3 linked regions of the Lonchura striata genome follow. The protein of the gene in region 1 interacts with the protein of each later gene in a pairwise test. Links are inferred from orthologs where the notes say so. Each region holds a gene or a part of one and is shown on either strand. Other genes may lie near its edges.

The links. The genes of interacting proteins can lie anywhere in the genome.
Region 2: the proteins of zinc finger and BTB domain-containing protein 8A (region 1) and RAD23A interact in binary tests that used the Homo sapiens proteins (3 or more experiments, as listed by UniProt). The two-hybrid records come from large-scale screens. The link is inferred for Lonchura striata from reciprocal best matches to the Homo sapiens genes ZBTB8A and RAD23A.
Region 3: the proteins of zinc finger and BTB domain-containing protein 8A (region 1) and AP1M1 interact in binary tests that used the Homo sapiens proteins (3 or more experiments, as listed by UniProt). The two-hybrid records come from large-scale screens. The link is inferred for Lonchura striata from reciprocal best matches to the Homo sapiens genes ZBTB8A and AP1M1.

What each region holds. Positions count from the first base shown.
Region 1 is NC_134628.1:951,502-959,226, reverse strand, and holds the start of zinc finger and BTB domain-containing protein 8A, read left to right. Parts: upstream 1-4,705; 5' UTR 4,706-4,934; coding exon 4,935-6,165; intron 6,166-6,719; coding exon 6,720-6,889; intron 6,890-7,556; coding exon 7,557-7,725. UniProt on the Homo sapiens protein: May be involved in transcriptional regulation.
Region 2 is NC_134623.1:1,284,006-1,291,085, forward strand, and holds the start of RAD23A (UV excision repair protein RAD23 homolog A), read left to right. Parts: upstream 1-4,075; 5' UTR 4,076-4,122; coding exon 4,123-4,254; intron 4,255-6,649; coding exon 6,650-6,811; intron 6,812-7,080. Other genes in the region: CALR (calreticulin), read left to right, coding at 216-312, 1,165-1,266, 1,356-1,559, 2,039-2,133, 2,237-2,446, 2,661-2,774, 2,864-3,007, 3,087-3,179 and 1 more. UniProt on the Homo sapiens protein: Multiubiquitin chain receptor involved in modulation of proteasomal degradation. Binds to 'Lys-48'-linked polyubiquitin chains in a length-dependent manner and with a lower affinity to 'Lys-63'-linked polyubiquitin chains.
Region 3 is NC_134630.1:4,653,050-4,659,896, reverse strand, and holds the start of AP1M1 (AP-1 complex subunit mu-1), read left to right. Parts: upstream 1-3,842; 5' UTR 3,843-3,880; coding exon 3,881-3,922; intron 3,923-5,063; coding exon 5,064-5,220; intron 5,221-5,598; coding exon 5,599-5,666; intron 5,667-6,166; coding exon 6,167-6,297; intron 6,298-6,435; coding exon 6,436-6,583; intron 6,584-6,847. Other genes in the region: protein FAM32A, read left to right, coding at 2,146-2,222, 2,346-2,484, 2,578-2,631, 2,787-2,855. UniProt on the Homo sapiens protein: Subunit of clathrin-associated adaptor protein complex 1 that plays a role in protein sorting in the trans-Golgi network (TGN) and endosomes.

The DNA.
Region 1 (7,725 bases):
GAATACACATTTTAATGTATTTTTGCACAGAAATGCACTGTATTTCACTGAAGGAATACATGCTGCACTGGTGTTTGTAGTGCATTTAACCTCTTGGTGCGAAGCCCTTGTAAATCTTCCAAATGTGGTCGTTGAATTCCCTGATGTTTTGTAAGACAGTTTCATAACTGAAGTCCTTTGGTCCAGTAACAATGACAAATTCTTATAAACCGAACCTTATTTGTGGAAGTGACTGAACTATATTTGTGGATCTTGGAACATTCTGGAGTTTTTTGATTGTCTAGAAAATAAAACTCTCTGAGAGGGTTGCTTTGATTTTTTTTTACTGTTCCCATGTTGACTGAGTAAACCTGAGAGTGTCTAGATTGAAGGCTCACGTTTCAATTTCTGGCATTAAAATTAAATAATTATTTCCATTCCATTAATTTGGCTTAAAAATTAATATATCCATTTTTGGGGACAGCTAGTTTGCAAGAAAAATCAGGTTTTTGGAAGGAAAAGACTAAAAGGATTCTGTTCACGTAAACCCCAGCCAAGTGAGACTTTTAGAAAATATTTTATATTATTAATACTGGCTTTTTTTTAACAGTCTTGTAGTTTTATGTTAATTCAACTTTTTAAACTCCTTTTAAAACTTCTCATTTTTCTTGCTAGGAAGCAGACACTGATCCCAGCTAGGAGGAAATACATGTGAGGAGGACAACATCCCAAATATCCTTTCCAGAAAATTTTGTGTTATATCCAATATTTGACAAAAAAATCTTGCTGCAAGTAGACAAATTTCCCTTTTTTTTGTTTTTTTTTTTAATTTTTTTTCTCATGAAAGATTGAGATGCTGAAGAACTCAGAGGGGATGAGGGTGGTTATCTCCACCCTTGGTGAAAAGGATTCTTTGTGGGGGAAGGAGGAGGAGAGCAGGGCAGCTGAGGGTGTCAAAAAGCTTGGGAATGATTTGGGGAGGAGAATTGTTTGGATCCAGCCCTAAGTCATCAACATGAGCTGGATGCAAATGTGGGACAGTTGGGTGTTCTGAGAAACAGCTGAAAATAAAGAGTTTAAGGAGGGTTTTAATTGTCCTGCTGGATCAGGATTAGGATCAGGCTTTCCCTAAACTGGCCTTGCTGCCAGAGGGAAGAAGGGAAGATTCCTCCCTGGGTTTAGGACAGGACATTCCAATTTCCTGCTCATTTGGAAAAAGGAAAAATCTCCTGGTGCCCTGGAGGCTCCATGGATTTGTACTGGAGATTTGGTTTTATACTCGAGATTTCGATTTGTGCTTCTAGATTGGATTTGTATTTGAGATTTGGACTTGTACTTGAAATTTGGATTTGTACTCGAGATTTGGACTTGTGCTTCTAGATTGGGATTTGTGCTTGGAGATTTGGATTTGTGCTTCTGGATTTGGATTTGTGCTTCTACATTTGGATTTCTACTCGAGATTCAGATTTCTACTCGAGATTTGGATTTGGGATTTGGATTTGTGCTTCTAGGCTCAGATTTGTACTCGAGATTTGGATTTCTACTCAAGATTTGGATTTGTACTCGAGATTTGGATTTGAGATTTGGATTTGAGATTTGGATTTGTGCTTCTAGGCTCAGATTTGTACTCAAGATTTGTATTTGTATTTGAGATTTGGATTTGAGCTTGAGCACAAAGGTGGAACTCAAACCCCGGGTGATTCAACACTCCTGGTTTGGTCCTTGGGAAAGGTGAGGAGAGGAATGATGATGCAAATGAAGACAACCCCAATCTAAGGTGGCAGTGATCACATGAAAGTTGTAATCCCATGCCTGATTAATTTCTAGGCTTTGAACAGTTCCTTAAGTTGTTCTAGTATAAGCTCTTGAGTTTTCCTTGGTAAAAAATATCCCTGGATAATTCAAGTTGTAAGATGCACCATAACTGAAGGCTGTGATTCCTGAGGAATGTTTATTTTGAAGAGAACTGCAATCTTTAAATTGGTGCCACAGTTAATTAAACTATTATAATACATTACACTATACCATTATATATTATTACAGTTAATCCTATTTGGTTACCAAACCCAAGGAGAAATGTACATTAATTTTTCTGTGAGCAAGAAAAATATTAATTTTTTTTAGTGTGATTGTTCTCTGAAGAGCAGACTCTACATTCTGGCTGTGAGGAGCAGCTCCTTCACACTGCTGCCAAGCACATTCCCTCTGGATAAACTCTCCAAACAGCATCTCAAGTGGAACTTTCTCAGCTGAAATTTGCTCTAAAATTTAGAAATAAAACCTAAAAAACCTCTCTGATGTCTGGGATTGTTTGGGATGCATTATTGTGCACAGCAAGATGAAATCAGCATCTCAAGTGGAACTTTCTCAGCTGAAATCGGTTCTAAAAGTTAGAAACAAAACCTAAAAAACCTCTCTGATGTCTGGGATTGTTTGGGATGCATTATTGTGCACAACAAGATGAAATCAGCCCCGTGGATGAGGAAACCAAAGTTTGTTCTGTGGCTGTTCCTGGATCCACAGCACAGCAGTGAGCAGGAGGTGCTCTGAGGAAAGCACTCGTAGCATCTTTAAAAATTCTAATTAAGCCACTCCAGATAACATTGACATTTCCCCCCATATTTTTTAAATTCTCTTGCCTGTTCCTGGCAGAAGGAGAACCCTCGAGCTCCTGTTGACATTGATATAAAACCCCACTGACAGAGGAGTGAAAGCACCACCCAGGCAAGTCAAACAGAACAAATACCTCCAGATAATTCTTTTCCAAAGGAAGCTTTCAGCTGATGGAATAATTTGGGCAGAAGTGTGGAAAAACATTTATAGAATATTGAGAAACATGGTGTCCCTGCCCATGATCTTTAAGATCCTTTCCAGCCCAAACCATCCTGGGATTCTGTGATTCCACATTAAATAAAAAGAGGTGCTACTTACTTGGCTTGACAGGCAAAAATAAACTTTAAAGGAATTCATTTCAATGGTATTAAAACCTGATACTAGAAATAAATGTTCTGGTTTATATATTAAATAATCTGATGGTTTAGTTGATTGCATTCTTTATTTCTCAGTGGTAAGAGCTGTGAGAAGCTGGTTTGAATTCCAGTTGTTTCATGTTCAAGAATGGTTGATTTAGAGCAGAATCTCACAGAAGCAGAATGGGTCTCATGAAGATTTTAAGAGCACGGCCTGGGTTTGAAAGGAGAATCTACAAAACAAAGAGAGTTTATGAAAAAGGAGGAATTAAGATGGAAAATAATATTGTAACATATACATATATATCTACAAAATATGAATGTAGAAATTAGAGATGACAATGTATATGATGTAGTGGGAGAATGGCTCTAATGATCAAAGGAAATAATCTTTGGGTTGTTATCTTTAGATAAATTCTTTAGCCAATTTTGCTACAATGGGCAAAGAAAGAGAAATTGTTTCAAGGTGGAATGTCTGAAGTTAGAGAAGAGAAGGCCAAAAATGCCACCAAGGGCTCGGTTAGGGAAGAACGGTTTCCATGGGGAAAATAAATATTTATGAAAAGTAACTAGGGCGTCCAAAACACAGAAAAGACCCTGGTGGTAAGAAGAGGAAGGGGAAAGACACTAAACTTCGAGGGAGAGAAGGTGAGAGGTTCAGGTCTCGCTTTCAGCCATGCTTTCTTCAGAAGATAACAGACACCAACAGAGACAAGAAGATGTCACATCTCCTTTGGAGGACGCCGCAAGAGAAAGGAGAAGGATTTGGGTCATCGAGGGCCCTGCTATAGATAAAGGTGTGAAAAGGAGGCATCTAGGGCATCCCATCCCCTCCCGGGCAGCATGTGGGTGTGGGAAGCGGCGAGCGGCGGCGGCCGCGGGGCGCGGGGGCCGCGGCAGGCGCTGGGCTGCGGCTGCAATCGGTGCGTTGCCCCTTTAATTGTGTCCCCAGCCCTCGGGCGTCTCTGTCCAACGCCCACGTCAGCAAATACCTTTTGTTTCTCTCCCGTTCGGGCTCGCAGGGCTCGGGGCTGCGGGAGCAGCGGCGCGTCGCCTGCAGGCACGGCGAGCCCCGAGGCGGAGCCGGGGATCCCGCAGCCACCGCCCGCTCCCCCCGGCTCGGCGGCAGCCGCCCGCAGCACCCCGCCGGTGAGTGGCGGCTCCCGCACGCCGGTAGGCCGGGCAGGGCGCTGGGATTGGGGCGGAACGGGCCCCGCAGCCAGCCCGGCTGCGAGGAGGGCGCGGGGCTCCGCAGCGGCCGCGGGCGCTTCGGGCCGCCCGGAGCCGCCGGGAACCGCTCGGAGCCGCTCGGTGCCGCCCGGAGCCGCCGGGAACCGCTCGGTGCCGCCCGGTGCCGGCGCTGCCGCGTCCCCGGCGGGCGCCATTTGCAGCCCCGGGCGCGGACACAAAGGGGCTGCGCGGGGCGGGCGGCGGAGGCGCTGCCGGCGGAAGCGGCTGCGGGCGGCGGGACGGGAGCGGCACCGGGCGCTGGGCACCGGGCACCGGGCACCGGGCGGGGACACGGGGGGCTCTGGCGGAGCGGCAGCCGCGGCTCCGTTCCCGCGGGCGGCACGGCCGGGCCGGGGCGCTCCGTGCGGGCGGAGGGGAGCGCGCAGCCGGCCGGGGCAGGCGGGCGCGGCGGTCCCGCGGTGGGAGCGGGGCCGGGCGGCTCCGGCGCCGTCGGGCGTCCCGGGCTGCCGGGGACCGGCCGGGCGGGTGAGTGACGGCGGCCGCGGCCAATGCCGGGGAGGCCGGGGCGCTGCCGCCGTGCCTTCCGCCCGAAGCGGGGCCCGGGCGGAGCGGGGAGAGGCGGAATCGCGGGTTCGAGGCGGAATCGCGGGTTCGAGGCGGAATCGCGGGTTCGAGACGGAATCGCGGGTTCGAGGCACGGCCGCGGTCGCAGCCGCAGCTGCTCTTGGCTCCTCGTCTTCCCGGAGCTGCCTGAAGGCTGCGCAGCTCCAGCGGGCGGCACGAGTCCAGCCCCGCATGCTGCCCCGCATCCCGGGAATGGATTTGCTGCCGGCTCTAGCACAGCCGTCCGTGCCAAATAACGCGGTCTTGGCTTCGCCATCCCTCTTGTTCTGTTGGGAAATGAATCTATGGTTGAGCATATCGTGGTTTAAATATATTTGTAGATTTACAGAAATGCTATTGTTTGTAAAGATAGCTGTAAAATTGGGTCTGACATGTTTGGCTGAGTTACACAGCACTGAAGTCGAGAGTGAAATAATTTTCTTCATTTTTTTTAGAGGAACGTTTCATTTCACCTTTTCTGGGATGGAGATTTCTTCTCACCAGTTTCACCTCTTGCAGCAACTAAATGAGCAGCGCAGGCAGGACTTGTTCTGTGACTGCAACATCCTGGTGGAGGGCAAAGTCTTCAAAGCCCATCGCAATGTGCTGTTTGCCAGCAGCGGCTACTTCAAAATGCTCCTTTCGCAGAGCTCGAAGGAGACGAGTCAGTCCACGACAGCCACTTTCCAGGCCTTTTCTCCTGACACCTTCACAGTTATCCTGGATTTTGTGTATTCAGGCAAACTGTCTCTCACTGGTCAGAATGTGATCGAAGTCATGTCGGCTGCCAGCTATCTGCAGATGACCGATGTGATCAGCGTGTGTAAAACCTTCATCAAGTCGTCGCTGGACATCAGTGAGAAGGAGAAGGATCGCTACTTCAGCCTGTCAGACAAAGATGTCAGCTCCAACGGCGTGGACCGATCCTGCGTGTACAGCGGAGGGTGGAGGGCAGAGAGCAGCCCCCCGCATTCCCACTCCAGCCCAGACCCTGGGACTTGTATGATGGGCGGCAACACTTGGAGCAATTTCAACTATTACCCCAGCTCTCAAAGAAATGCCCAGCAGCAGCTGTCTAAACACGAGCAGCGGCAGGATTCCATCAAGAAATCCCGGCACCTGGGGCTGCAGCAGCCTTCAGACATCCCCCACTATAAATCCAGCAAGCTGGAGGACAGGGCTGCCGAGCCCGCCGGCCACGCCGCGCCGCCCGAGGAGCAGGTCCACATCGACACGGAGGTGGAAGCTCCTCACGTGGGCTACCAGTTTGGCCAAGGGGCTGAGGTGATGCCCAGGGGCTTGGCTGTGTCGCAGCAGGAGCACGAGTCACCCCGCTCCTCCAGCAAATCCAAATCCTCCAAAGCTGAGGAGCAGTACGGGAGCATGCCCTCCATCCTGGGAGTCATGGGGAACTGGGCTGAAGGTGAGTGGGGTTTAGACACCTGTGAATCCTCTCTTCTGCCTCTGAGAAAATAGGTCTTACTCAATAGTAAAGCACAACTGTCAAAAAGACAGCTGTATTGTCCAGAAGTGTATGCTTAGAAAGTTTGAACTCATTTCCTTGAAATCATTCTGAGTTCTTGAAGTACCTGGGGTATTGAATTTAAAAATAAGTATAAGTTGGGATATTTTTAAGTTCATTTTCATAAAATCACAGAATACTTTGGGTTGGAAAGGACCTTAAAGCTCATCTTGCTCCACTCCCTGCCATGGGCAGGGACACCTCCCACTATCCCTGGTTGCTCCAGGCTCTGTCCAGGCTGGCTTTACCAGGTCTGTGTTAATACAGCCAATGGCCCACTCCTCCTTTGTTCCACTCCTGTGTAATCTACAGACAAACACAAATCCTTTGTGTTTGAAACAACCCGTGGATATTTTAATAAATGACCTGCTATTCTCCTCATAAAACACTTTTTCCTAGAGCATTACATGACACGATTTTGACTTTTTTTTTTAAATCCCATTATTTTCTGACAGATGACCTGTCCAGGATGAGGTTCAAGTGTCCATTCTGCAGCCACGTGGTGAAGAGAAAAGCCGACCTCAAGCGTCACCTTCGCTGTCACACGGGAGAGCGGCCGTACCCCTGCGAGGCGTGTGGCAAGAGATTCAGCAGGCTGGATCACCTCAGCAGCCATTTTCGAACTGTGAGTATTTTTAGCAACTGCATGATTTATTTAACATGTAAATCTGGCTAATTAAACACAGTGTGAGTGTATCTGGTTGATCTAATGACTCCTGTAAAGAAGAGGGGAATGGAACATTAATTTGGTTTGGCTGCAGTCGAATTGAAGGATAATTTGCAGGAAAGAGGAGGAATTTGTTGGGTAATTGATGGCTTGCAGAGGTTCTGCTCTCTGCAGCCTGTGAGAGCTCCAGTGGGCAATTACTGTGCTGGGGCTGGTGCAGTTCAGCGTTTGATGTCTCTGAAATTAAGGCAACATGTCACCCTGATTCTTAGGATTTTCTAAAGCCTTCTGAATTTACATTCTGTTGGAGAACTTTCCCACACAATTTCTGTAAACAACATATTGTTTACATTCTTTTATGAGGGTGGAGAAACTTGATGTACTAGTGGTTTGTCCAATGTGTTTGGAGAGGTGGCCCATTCACTCTCCAACCCAATGTCACCTTTGGGAAAGTATAAAAGTCGGAGTCAGAGAATAAACTTTCTTCTTTACCTTGGAAATAGCAGGTGGCTCGCGTCGTGCTTTCACGTGTCCTATAGCGACAGCAACGCTGCGATTTGATTTTTGCCATCTCCCAAAAAACCCATTGGTGTTTTACAAATCCATCCCTTCTCGATTTCCCCAGATCCACCAGGCGTGCAAGCCCATCTGCAGGAAGTGCAAGCGCCACGTCACCGAGCTGACGGGCCAGGTGGTGCAGGAGGGCACGCGGCGCTACAGACTGTGCAACGAGTGCCTGGCCGAGGCGGGCATCGACAGCATCCGCATTGACTTGGAGGCGGAGGCGCCTCTGG
Region 2 (7,080 bases), on another chromosome or scaffold:
AACGTTCGGGGGCGCCGTCGCCGGCGGCGGGCGGGCGGGCGGCCAATGGGAGAGGGCCGCGCGCGGCCTCGGGCCAATGGCAGGGCGGCGGAGGCAGGGCGAGGGGCGGCGGGAGTATAAAAGGCGGCGGCACCTCCTCCCCCCTCCGCAGTGCCGGGCGGCGCCGGGCCGGGACGGACGGAGCGAGTGTTCCTAAACCCCCTCCCCCGCCAGCCATGAGCCCCCTCGGCGTCCTCGGCCCCGTCCTGTTCGGAGCCCTCCTGGCGGCCGCCGGCCCCACCCAGTTCTTCCGCGAGGAGTTCGGGGATGGAGGTGAGGGAGGGGCCGGGAGGGGGTCGCTGAGGGCGGGGCCTGAGGGGGGGGGGCTTTTGAGGTGAAGGGGTTGAGGGGGGGCGGTGCCTGGGGAGTCTGAGGGGAGTCTGAGGGGGAGGCAGGAGGCTGGGAGGGCCCTCTTGTGTCTTGTGAGGGGAGAGAATGGAGAGACCTTCCCGTCTTTTCTGAAGGGAGAATTAGGGGATCCTCTTGTGGTCTGTGAGGGGAGGGAATGGGAGCACCCCGTGTGACTTGTAAGGCGAGAAAGGAGGGAGCCTGTTGTGTTTTGTGAAGGGAGAGAATTCAGTGACCGCCCCCCCCCTCACCGTGTTCTGAGAGGGGAAAATGGAGTGATCCCGCTGTGTTCTTTAAAGAAATAATGGGGGGGACTGATCTGTGTTCTGTGAGGGGAACAGAACAGAATGGGGGCACTCTGCTGTGGTCTCTGAGGGAAACGAGGAGGGGATCCTCGGGTGTTGTGTGAGGGCAGAGAATGTGGAACGTGCTGCTCCCTGAGGTGACAGGGCGTGCAGGAGCCACTCCTCAGGTGTGGGCAGCGAGTGGGAGTCAGGGCAGGCAGGACGAAGCTGCTGAGGAATCCCTGAGCCAGCAAGGGTCACTGGAGGGACAGGCTGAGGGGGCTCAGCCTCAGCAGAGCAGGTGGACAAGAGAGAAAAGAGCAGGAAAAAGGCTCGTGAGGAACGCAGCAGCCACATGGAGAGGGTTCCTGGCGGGTGGGGGGACTCAGCTTTCCTCTGCGAGCCTAAAACCATCCAGCAAAGAGACCCTGCCCCAAGCCCTGAGCTGGGCGGGCAGGAGGGCTTTGGGGGTGCTGATCCTGCCCCCTCACAGACGCCTGGACCCGCCGGTGGGTGGAATCCAAGCACAAACCCGACTACGGCCGCTTCGTCCTCACCGCCGGCAAGTTCTACGGCGACGCCGAGAAGGACAAAGGTGAGCCGGGGAGCACGGCAGGCGGAGGGGGAAAGACCTCGAGGCTGGGGTTTTCTCCCCCTTCCCCAACCACGCCCCACGTCCCGCAGGGATCCAAACGAGCCAGGACGCCCGGTTCTACGCGCTGTCGTCGCGCTTCGAGCCCTTCAGCAACCGCGACAAGACGCTGGTGGTGCAGTTCACTGTCAAGCATGAGCAGAACATCGACTGTGGCGGCGGCTACGTCAAGCTCTTCCCGGCCAGCCTCAGCCAGGAGGACATGCACGGCGACTCCGAGTACAACATCATGTTTGGTGGGTGTCCCCCAAGCCCCCCAGGGTGGTCTCAGCCCCTTTCCCTGACCCTGAGTCTCCCCCTCGCCCCCCAGCCCCCTTGGGGTGGTCTTTTCCCTAGCACCATGTCCCCCCAGCCCCCCAGGGTGGTCTCAGCCCCTTTCTCTGACCCCATTGCCCCCCCTTTGCCCCTCAGCCCCTTTCCGTGACCCTGTGTCCCCCCCAGCCCCAGTGAGACAGAGTAAAAAATGTAATAAAATAGAAATATATTTAGCGTAACGTGAAATCAGCAAAATAAATATGTATGAGCCTATTACTAAATTTTATGCTTGTAGAAATTAGTCAGGGTTATAAAAAAGGATCAGGAGTTCCACGGGTTCACATGTCCATTGAAAAGTGATGAGTCCCCACATGCATCCACAGCACTGTAAATAAATATACTTTTGCCTACAAATCTTTGTTAAAATGGTGAAATTTAATTTTTCTCCATGTTTCGCCAGGCCCCGACATCTGCGGCCCCGGCACCAAGAAGGTGCACGTGATTTTTAACTACAAAGGGAAGAACGTGCTGATCAATAAGGACATTCGCTGCAAGGTGGGTCTGGGGGCTTTTGGGGGTGGGGGGTCCTGCTGTCCCCTGCTGTGTAGGGTCGGGGGGGGGGTCTGCAGCCCTGCTGAGCCCCCCCTGTGCCCCCCAGGACGACGAATTCACCCACCTGTACACGCTGGTGGTGCGGCCGGACAACACCTACGAGGTGAAGATCGACAACGCCCGCGTGGAGTCGGGGAGCCTGGAGGAGGATTGGGATTTCCTGCCCCCCAAAAAGATCAAAGACCCCGAGGCCAAGAAACCTGAGGACTGGGATGAGCGGGCCAAGATCGATGACCCCGAGGACACCAAACCTGAGGTGGGGAGGGGGCTTGGAGGGGCTTTTGGGGGGGGATTGGAGGGGTTTTAGGGAGGAACCTGGGGGGTCTCCAGGAGATTTGGGGGGGTGTTGTGAAAAGGTCCTGGAAGGATTAGGGGGAGAATGGGGGGGACTGGGTGAGAGGTGGGGAGGCGAGGGTGGTCCTGGGGAGCCACAGCAGCCCCCTGAGCCCCCCAACCCACCCCCCTTGCAGGACTGGGACAAACCCGAGCACATCCCGGACCCCGACGCCAAGAAACCGGAGGATTGGGACGAGGAGATGGACGGGGAGTGGGAGCCCCCCGTGATCCAGAACCCCGAGTACAAGGTGAGGCCTGGGGGGGCTGCTGCGGTGTTGGGGGGCTGCTGGGGGAGGGGCTGAGCCCCCTCTGAGCCCCAACTTGTGCCCCCCACCAGGGCGAGTGGAGGCCGCAGCAGATCGACAACCCCGACTACAAGGGCAAGTGGGTGCACCCTGAGATCGACAACCCCGAGTACAGCCCCGACCCCCTGCTCTACTCCTACGACAGCTTCGGGGTCATCGGCCTCGACCTCTGGCAGGTGAGGGGGGGTCCCCAGGAGGGGTCTCGGGGGGTCCCCAGGAGCTGCAGGACCCCCCCTGACTGCCCCGTGCCCACAGGTGAAGTCAGGCACCATCTTCGACAACTTCCTGATCACGGACGACGAGAAACTGGCGGAGGAGATCGGGAACGAGACCTGGGGGGCCACCAAGGTAAGGGGGGGACAATGAGACCTGGGGGGGTCACCAAGGTGCGGGAGGGACAATGACACCTAGGGGGCCACCAACGAGACCTGGGGGGCCACCAAGGTACCGAGGGGATGAGTCCTGGGGGCCACCAATGAGACCTGGGGGGCCATCAAGGTACGGGGAGGACGAGCCCCCCACGACCCCCGTGACCTCCCCGCCGCCTCCCGCAGGACGCAGAGAGGAAGATGAAGGAGCAGCAGGACGAGGAGCAGCGGAAGAAGCAGGAGGAGGAGGAGAAGCAGCAGAAGGAAGAGGAAGGGGATGATGAGGGCGACGAGGAGGAGGAGGATGAGGACGAGCCCGAGGCCGAGCCCGAGGAGGCGGAGGCGGCCCCGCGGGACGAGCTGTGAGGGCCCCGCGGCGGGCCCCGTTCTGTCTCTGTGAGACCTGGACTCTTTTCTATGGGCGCCGGCACCGAACCGGCACGGCCGGCACCGAACCGGCACGGCCGGCACCGAACCGGCACCGAACCGGCACCGGGCGCCCTGCGGGGCGAGGACTCAGGACCAGCGCCGGGGGTGGGGAGGGATCGGAGAGGGGTGGGAGGGGTGGGGAAAGCACCGGCGGTGTCGCACGGGACTGTACGGGGGGTGTCGTGATCCGGTTTCTATTAAATTAACGACGGTCCCGCCGCCGTTTCGCTCCTCGTTGTTTCCTCCTTGTTCCCCGCCCGCGCCATGTTGTGGCCGCCGCCATTTTGTGCCGGCGCCGCGTCACGTGATCGGGGGCGGGAACGAGACCCGCGCGGGTTTTTCCCGCGTCACGTGACAGCGGAAACTCCATTGCCCCCGCCCCGTTTTTTTTTCCCCGCGGGAGCGTGGCGCGCGCGCGGGCGCGCCGTGACGCACTTCCGGCGCCGCGGCGGAAGCGGCGGGGCCGCCTCTAAGATGGCGGCGGCGTGAGTTGCATGTTGTTGTCGTGGGGCCGCCGGGAGGAGCCGCCGCCGCCGCCCCGCGCCCGTCCCGCCATGGCCGTCACCGTCACGCTCAAGACGCTGCAGCAGCAAACCTTCAAGATCCGCATGGAGCCGCACGAGACGGTGAGGACGCGCCCGGGGGCCGGGGATGGGCACGGAGCCCGCCCCCCCCCACATCCCCCCCCGAGCCCTCACGCCGCGGGGCCGGAGCCTCCCGGGGCTTCCTTGAGGTGCGGGGGGACACCGAGGGGCGGCCCCGTGTGCCCCCCGCCCGTTCGGGTGCGGATGGCACCGGCAGGGGCGGCTCCGTGCGCCCCCGGTTCTGGGGGGGGGTCTCGGCTCTTTTTTGGGGAGGGGTCTGCGTGTCCCCGATGTGAGGAGAGCGAGGGGCGGCACCCGGGGAGCTCCATGTGCCCCCAGTCCCCAATTTGGGGAGGGGGCTTCGTGTTCCCTCAATTCTCATTTTGGGGAGGGGGCTCCGTGTGCCCCCAACTCTCATTTTGGGGAGGGGGCTCCGTGTCCCTCCAATCCCCATTTGGGGAGGGGGCTCCGTATCCCTCTAGTTCTCATTTTGGGGAGGGGGCTCCATGTTCTCTCAATTCTCTTTTTGGGGCGGGGGCTCCGTGTTCCCCCAATCCCCATTTTGGGGAGGGGGCTCCGTGTCCCTCTAGTTCTCATTTTGGGGAGGGGGCTCCGTGTGCCCCCAGTTCTCATCCCTGGGGGGGGGCCTCTGTGTCCCCTATTTTTGGGGGGCTCCCTGCTATTATTCGCCCCCAGACCCCCCCACTTTGGGGGAGCTTAGACCCCCGTGGGAAGGGCAATTTTTTTCGGGGCGTTTCTTCCACAATATTTGGGGCTTGGGGGGGGCAGTTTTGGGGTGCCCTGAGCCCCCGGGGTGCTGTTTCAGGGTGCAGTTTTGGGGAGCCTTTTGGGGTGCCCTGAGCCCCTGGGGAGCAGTTTTGGGGTGCAGTTTTGGGGTGCCCTGAGCCCCTGGGGGGCGGTTATGGGGTGCCCTGAGCCTGTGGGGGGCCCCGAGGTGCAGTTTTGGGGTGCAGTTTTGAGAGCCCTCTTGGGGAGCAGTTTTTGGGAGCCGTTTCGGGAGCTGTTTTGGGGTGCAGTTCTGGGAACCGTTTCGGGATGCAGTTTTGGGAGCCGTTTTGGGGTACAGTTCTTGGGAGCAGTTTCAGGGTGCCCTGAGTCTCCGGAGTGCAGTTTTGGGGTGCAGTTTTGGGAGCCCTTTTGGGGTGCAGTGTTTGGGAGCCGTTTCGTGGTACCATTTCGGGGTGCCGTTTTTGGGAGCTGTTTTGGGGTGCAGTTTTTGGAAGCAGTTTCAGGGTGCCGTTTTTGGGAGCTATTTTTGGGAGCAGTTTCAGGGTGCTGTTTCGGGATGCTGTTTTTGGGAGCCGTTTCGGGGTGCAGTTTCAGGGTGCCGTTTTTGGGAGCCATTTTGGGATGCAGTTTTGGGGTGAAGTTTTTGGGAGCCGTTTTGTGGGACCGTTTCAGGGTACCGTTTTGGGAGCCGTTTTTGGGATCTGTTTCAGGGTGAAGTTTTTGGGACCTGTTTTGTGGTACCGTTTTGGGTGCTGTTTTTGGGAGCCGTTTTGGGGTGCTGTTTTTGGGAGTTGTTTCGTGGTACCATTTTGGGAGCCATTTCGGGGTGCCGTTTTTGGGAGCCGTTTTGGGATGCAGTTTCGGGGTGCAGTTTCGGGGAGCCCTGAGGCCCTGGGGTGCAGTTTCGAGGTGCCATTTCAGGGTGCAGTTTCGGGGTGCAGTTTTGGGGAGCTGTTTCAGGGTGCCCTGAGCCCCCGGGGTGCAGTTTTGGGGTGCTCTGGGAGCCCCTGGGATGTCGTTTCGGGGTGCAGTTTCGGGAGCCACTTCAGGGTGCACTTTTGGGGTGCCATTTCGTGGTACCATTTCAGGATGCCATTTTTGGGAGCCGTTTCGGGAGCAGATTTTGGGGAGCTGTCTCATGGTACCGTTTTGGGAGCTGTTTCGGGAGCAGTTTTTGGGGAGCTGTTTCATGGTACCGTTTGGGGAGCCGTTTTCGAGAGCAGTTTTTGGGGAGCTGTTTCATGGTACCGTTTTGGGAGCTGTTTTCGGGAGCAGTTTTTGGGGAGCTGTTTCCTGGTACCATTTTGGGAGCCGTTTTCGGGAGCAGATTTTGGGGAGCTGTTTCATGGTACCGTTTTGGGAGCCGTTTCGGGAGCAGTTTTTGGGGAGCTGTTTCATGGTACCATTTTGGGAGCCGTTTTCGGGAGCAGATTTTGGGGAGCTGTTTCCTGGTACCATTTTGGGAGCCGTTTTCGGGAGCAGATTTTGGGGAGCTGTTTCATGGTACCGTTTTGGGAGCCGTTTCGGGAGCAGTTTTTGGGGAGCTGTTTCATGGTACCGTTTTGGGAGCTGTTTCAGGAGCAGATTTTGGGGAGCTGTTTCATGGTACCGTTTTGGGAGCCGTTTCAGGAGCAGTTTCGGGGTGCTGTTTCTGGAGCTGTTTTGGGTGCCATTTTTTGGGGCGCAGGTGCGGGCGCTGAAGGAGAAGATCGAGGCCGAGAAGGGCAGCGAGGCGTTCCCCGTGGCCGGGCAGAAGCTCATCTACGCCGGCAAGATCCTGAGCGACGACGTCCCCATCCGCGAGTACCGCATCGACGAGAAGAACTTCGTGGTGGTCATGGTCACCAAGGTGGGGGGCCCTGGGTGGGGCCTGAGGGGTCTGGGGGCCGTTTGGGGGGACCCGGAACCATTTGGGGGTCCCTGTGTGGGGCCTGAGGGGTCCTGGGGAGGGATTTGGGGGTCCCTGTGTGGGGTCTGAGTCTGGGGGCCGTTTGGGGGGACCCGGAGCCATTTGGGGGTCCCTGTGTAGGGTCTGAGGGGTCTGGGGGCTGTTTGGGGGAAGCCTGAGGGGTCCTTGGGAGGGATTTGGGGGTCCCTGGGAGGGATTTGGGGTCCCTG
Region 3 (6,847 bases), on another chromosome or scaffold:
GCTGCTCATTAGTGCCCTTCAGTTGCAAGAAGACCCAGTGGACCCTGCTTTTTCATGCCTTCAGATATGGTGAATAAACTGAAAAGTGTTAGCAGCATTTTCCTCCTTTAAAATTTAACACCAAATGATGGAAATTTGGTAGCCCCTCCTCCTTTCCTTCTCATATTTTATAGGGTCAGAATTATAAAAGCCCTTGGAAAAGCCCTTTTAGATCATTAATGCAGCACTGCCAAGATCACCAATATTCCATGTCCTCAGGTGCCACATCCACATGTTTTTTTGAACACTTCCAGGGATGGTGACTTCACCACTGTCCTGGGCAGCCTGTGCCAGTATTTTCCTTTAATGCACATTGTTAAAATACACTAATGCTGGTGGTAGCTTGTACTGGAGGTAGTAACCATAAATTCCGCTCACTCCCTTCCTTCTGCATCATCTGCTGACGTATCTTACTACTAATTAATGGTGATTAGCATGACATCCATCCATACTGATTCATACACGGCCTTTGCACTGAAAAGATGTGTGAGTGTATAGTTCATACCTGTGAACAGAAATGTGATGCTATGAAAGATGAAAAACAAGGGGAAAAAAGGAGGAACTGGAACAGGCTGCTTTTTCATGGAGCTGTAAAGTTTCTATTTCTGGGTCACTGGTTCCCTCTGACTGGTGGAAGATCTCTTCCTGGGGCAGGCTTGCTCCTCAGGGTATCTTCCCATAGCAAAAACGATCTGGAATGGTTCTGTTCAGAGTGCAACAAGAAGTGTGGGGAGGGATGGGGCTGGTCCCTCCTGGTGTAGCCTAGATCTCCAGGTGTTCTCCTCAAGGCAATTCCATCCTGTTGTCCTCAAAATCAGATTTATTATGTGATGTGCAACAAGCCAATAATTACACAGTTGAGAGAGATATTATTTGCACAAGCCTGGATGCTTGGTGGGTTTCCACAAATCCAACACACCCCACTGGACTTTCCACGCCATTATTTACAGAAGTTCATCGTCTTTTTCCAAGGTCAGCCTCTCTATTAAGATTATTTAGTAATTTCCATACAAGTTAGACAATCCCCAGCTAACTTCTCCACATGCAATGGGGAAGGGTCTGCACCTGGGCAAGGTCTTTTTGACCCTTAGGCATGATCTTAAGTATTATAATGAAGATAGTTCAGCTAGTTCAGCTGTAGGATATACAGACCTTGAATCCTTTGCCAAATTATCAATGTATACACACACATACATCAACATTTTGATTTACTACATCCCTAAAGCTTGTTAATTCCCATATGTTGTTGACTAAGGGCTGCTAGCTGCTGTCTTCCCATTCATTACATCTCCTTTCTTGCTGAATAGGTTTGAAAGTATAGAAAGAGTTTACATCAAAAAAAAATTCTATTTTTAAATAATCTTGATATATTCCATATTTTGCAAGTCCTGCTTCGGTTCCCCTCACAGAGATACCCCCGGACTGGGCTCACTGCCCGCTCCCCTCACGGAGGTACTAAGGCGGCTCAATGTCCGCTTCGGTTCCCCTCACGGAGGGGCGGGCGGGGCTCGTTACCGGTTCCCCTCACGGAGGTGCTAAGGCAGCTCATGGCAGTCCCGGTTCCCCTCACGGAGAAACCGTGCAGGGGTCGTCCCCGGTCCCCCTCACGAAGATGCAAGGCAGCTCATGGCAGTCCCGGTTCCCCTCACGGAGAAGCCGGGCGGGCTCGTTCCCGGCTCCCCTCACGGAGAGGCCGGTCCCCTCACGAAGATGCAAGGCGGCTTTATGGCCGTCCCGGTTCCCCTCACTGAGAGGCCGGTCCCCTCACGGAGGTGCAAGGCACCTCATGGCCGCTTCGGTTCCCCTCACGGACGGGCCGGTTCCCTCACGGAGAAGCCGGGCGGGGCTCGTTCCCGATTCCCCTCACGGAGAAGGCGGGCGGGCTCGTTCCCGGTTCCCCTCACGGAGAAGCCGGGCGGGCTCGTTCCCGGTCCCCCTCACGGAGAAGCCGGGCGGGCTCGTTCCCGGTTTCCCTCACGGAGAAGCCGGGCGGGCTCGTTCCCGGTCCCCTCACGGAGAAGCCGGGCGGGGCTCGCGCGCGGCTCCCGGCGCCGGCCGTGCCGTTGCGGCGGTGCCGGCAGGGGGCGCGGGCGCGGCCGTTCCGCCATGGCGGACTACGAGGCAGTGCAGCGCGGTCCGCTGCGGCTGAAGGGCAGCGGCGGGGCCCTGGGGGCCGGCAAGCGGTGAGGGGGGAGCCGGGGGGAACCGGGGGAGAACGGGGAGCGGTGAGGAGGGGTCGGGAGAACCGTGAGCGAGGAGGGGACACACAGCGCCGGGGCTGAGCTCTGACCGGGCGCTTCCCGCAGGAAGAAGAAGAAGGCGAAAGACAAGGCCCAGATGCTGGAGCAGATCGTGAGCAGCAAGAAGCAGGAGGAGGAGAAGAAGCGCGGGCTGGACAAGCGGACCCCGGCGCAGGTGGCCTACGAGAAGATGCAGGAGAAGCGGGTAAGGGTTTAAAAGCCGCTGTCACCCCTGGGGTGCGGCCGCTGAGGGGGCTGCGAGTGCCGGGAGTAACCGGCCTTAATGTGTCTCCTACAGCAAATGGAACGGATCCTGAAGAAAGCGTCGAAAACCCACAAGCAGCGAGTGGAGGTGAGCAAAACCATCCCGAGTCCATCAGGCCAGCGTGTTTTGTTGGGCTGAAGGAACTGTTCCGCCTTGTGAAACACAAGCCGGGACGCAGGGGGGGCTTGTGGTTCAACTTGGTGATGTCAGCACCCTGTTTTCTTTCTCTTTGCCTCCCCCAGGACTTCAACAGGCACTTGGATACTCTGACTGAGCATTACGACATTCCCAAAGTCAGCTGGACTAAATGACCGGGCTGCTTTTCACGGCTCTGGAGCTGGAGTTGTGTTTTGTTTGTATCAAGCAGGGTTGCCATGTAAATCTGTCTTTTCTCTATATTGTCTAATACATCTTCTGAGCTTTTATGACTTCATACTGTCTTATTTTATAGACTTGTTATTTAAAACCAATCATCCAGCAATGTCTCCTGTGGGCTGAGGAGCTCTGGTTTACATCGATGGAGAGGGCTGTTTTTTTTTAGTGTTTATAGTGAGATTAAGGCCAGAACGAATTGCTGTGAGCCAGATGGAAAACATTCCTTTTATTTTGTTAGTTCTAACAGTACTCCTTTTTTCAAGTGGAGTCTGACAGTCTCATTAAGTTTCTCTTGTAAGTTATGTGAATTGTATAATTACTTTCTATCAAGTTCTGTCAGAGGCCATGTTGCAAAACATGAAATATGTAAAATTGTTTTAGGAAAGGATATTCTTTGGTATTTGATCTTTGTATACTTTCAAGCCTAACCAGCAAGAAGGGAGGTTTAATCCATAAAATAGAGAGCAGCCAACAAGCTCTGAGTGATGTCCAAGTTTTGATAGCTGGATTTCTGGGATCCCACCGAGCATCGAGGCTTGTGCAGCTCTGAAATAAATAATCAGCGTGTCTCTCGAGTGTGTAATTGTGGCAAACAGTTATCATTTCTATCTTGAGTATCAACAGTATCATTTCTGTCTTCCAGAGGGGTCTGCTGCAAGTTGTAAATTCGATGTAATTTATTAAAACGCTGCTTCCACCCCTTTTTTGGGATGGAATGAAATGGGGCGTGTGGAGTTTGATTGTTACCCCCTCTGAGGGATGTATCACGATGTCGGAACTCCCAAACCGGGATGTTCTTAACCCGAATTACGCTCTCCGTGTGTCCGTGCCCAGCTCAGCCCGCGGACCGGCGCGCCGGGACTATTTAACGGCGCTGCCGCGGTGTCCTTCCGCCGCGCCGGCGTCACTTCCTGCGGAAGCGGAAGCGGCAGCGGCGGGCGGGACGGGCCCGGCCGGGGCGATGTCGGCCAGCGCCGTCTATGTGCTGGACCTGAAGGGGAAGGTGAGGCCCGGCGCGGAGCTGCGGGTTCCGCTGCCTTGGGACGGCTGCGGGGCCGCGTTCCGCTCCCCGGGCTGCCGGCCCCCGCTTAGCCCAGCGGGGACGGGGGAGTTGTGGCCTGCAGCCCCTCGCCGGTAAACGGGGACAGGGAGTTGTGGGCAGCCCCTCGCCGGTAAACGGGGACAGGGAGTTGTGGGCAGCCCCTCGCCGGTAGAGATGTTGGGTGAGGCGGCATCCCCGGGGTGATTAATCTCTGTGTTAGCGTTCAGGAGCACACATCATCGCGGGATATGATTATGTGCAGGTGCTTTTATTGAGAGCTTTGGGAATCAGGGGTACAGACCCAAATTGACTCCGACATGGCTTTCGAGCTGAACGTATTTTATATTATTATCGTTATATAACTTACATAAAAACTGGGGATGGGAATGGGGATTGGAAATTTGGAATGGAAAACTGAAACTGGGAGTGGGAAACTGGGAATGGAAAATTAGGAATGGAAATCTGGGAGTGGGCATGAGAATGGGGATGGAAAACTGGGAATGGAAAACTGACAATGGGGATGGGAACTTATTAAATTTATATTGTTCTATTGTATACATTGACAAGAGTTTCTCGTGATCTTCCTTAGGCCCCCTGACCACAGTTTCTCATGATTATTCTTACAATTAAACAGTAATTAATTACTAAGCAATCATCACATCTAACAATTATATCATTTATCATGTACTAGGTACACAGGTGCAGTTCTAGCAAGGTACAAGTCTTCATGTACCTAGGGTATTTAATTTTTTCAGGGCCTACTAAGCTTAATTTTCCTTTTAACCCTAAATCCCCATGATTTTAAAACCCTTTTCTTGTCATCTGCCGGTATCCTAGCTGCTTTGCTCAGAAGAATTGTGCATTTTCCTATCCTAAAACCATTCTTAGAGCCTGAGCAGTAATAGAGGTCTGGAAAATATTAATAGATTTTGCAATTACATGTTGGTGTTTGCAAAGTGTTTCAGCATTGTGATTTGCACTTACAAATGCAGAGAGGCTTGAGGGAAGCTGGATGATTTTAGAGGGGTTTATCCAGCATTTGTGTGGCTTGCATGGTAACGTCCTTGTGAAAGAGAAGAAAGAAGGATTTGGTTGCTTACAGGTTCTGATCTGTCGGAATTACCGTGGAGATGTGGACATGTCAGAGGTGGAACATTTTATGCCAATCCTTATGGAAAAGGAAGAAGAGGGGACGCTTTCTCCTATCTTAGCACATGGAGGAGTTCGTTTCATGTGGATTAAACATAACAACCTGTATCGTATCCTTTGTGCTGCAGATGTGCTGACCTGCCAAGGGTTGCTGCTGTGGTTTTAATGTCAGAATGCAAGTTGAAGTATGGGTGAAGTGGTATAAAGTGGCTATATTCAATAAAGTTGGTCATATTAAATAAGGGGTTTTTTGTGCTTTACATAGTGTCATATATACCAGCAGCATAAAGTCCAGAAAAGTGTTCTAATTTTACTCTAATTAATGTCTTCCTGAATGTTATCTTCATATCTCTTTAGATCATTAGTGCTGTTAAGTAGTTAATGCATAATTCTTCCAGGCAACTCTAAGTGCCTTAAATTAGGCTTTTTAAACTGCATTTAGTAAGTGTTTTTTTTTTTAATGCATATTCCTGAACATCCTTTATCAGTTGTTGCAACTTCTAAGAAAAATGCTTGTGTATCACTGGTGTTTTCATTTTTATATAAAGTAGTTCAGGTGAGTATATTTCAGAAGTAACCTTTATGTTCTGTCTAAATAGAAGGGCATAGAGCTTTCACATTTTTTAAGAACTTCAACAATAGTGTTTTTACTTTATATTTGATTATTTTGTTGAACTATCTTCTTAACCACTAATAAGGGCACTGATATTTTGTAGCTGTGTGGGCAGAGTGCTCTAAGTAGTTACACAAGACCTGAGCACCTGGAGGAGATTGTGAACTGGTGCATGTGTTGTCATGCCTCATACAGATCCTGTGCTTGCTTCATATCCAGAAAGATATTTTTTCATAATAGTTTCTTCTATGATTCTCTGTATCTGTTTTAATTGTGGTGGGTTTCCTGGGGCTGATCTGAGCAGAATGCTGTTTGGGAAGTATGGGGTTGGGGTTGGAACTTTACAGGATTATTATTTTAGATGCAGGAATACCTTCTGTGTGTGCTGTGCTGCCTCAGTTAATGTCCTTCTTCTCCCTCCCCCTCCTCTTGTTGCATTTCAGGTTTTTTCTGAATATTTCAAGGAGTTGGAAGAAGAGAGCATTAGGGATAATTTTGTTATTATTTATGAGTTGTTAGATGAGCTTATGGATTTTGGTTATCCACAAACCACTGATAGTAAAATTTTACAAGAGTAAGTATCACTCAACAGTGACAAAGCCCTTGGAATGTTTTGAGCCTTTTTCCATAGGCAAACAAATGTTTGGGTGTGTTCTAATTATCAAAAGTATTAATTTTATTTTTTTTCTGTGCCAATTTTCTGGTTGTGAAGGTACATCACTCAGGAAGGCCACAAACTTGAAACTGGAGCCCCACGCCCGCCTGCCACTGTTACAAATGCTGTTTCATGGAGATCAGAAGGGATAAAATACAGGAAAAACGAGGTGTTCCTGGATGTCATAGAGTCTGTTAACCTTTTGGTGGGTACCTTGGACTTCAACTTTTATGTAAGAATTGTAGTAAAAAGTGTTAAAAAGGGCTTTTTGTATGCGAACCTGCAACAAAAAGTCTGATTGTGGATGTGTTCTGTGACACTCAAAGCAATGTTATCATTAAGTTCCCATGTAATCATTAATTAAGTAATGTAATAATAATTAAGTAACATAATCATTAAGGAAATCCAGTACAAATAATGCTTTAATTGTGTGTATTGCTGATTTTTGGATATGTCCTTTGATCCTCTA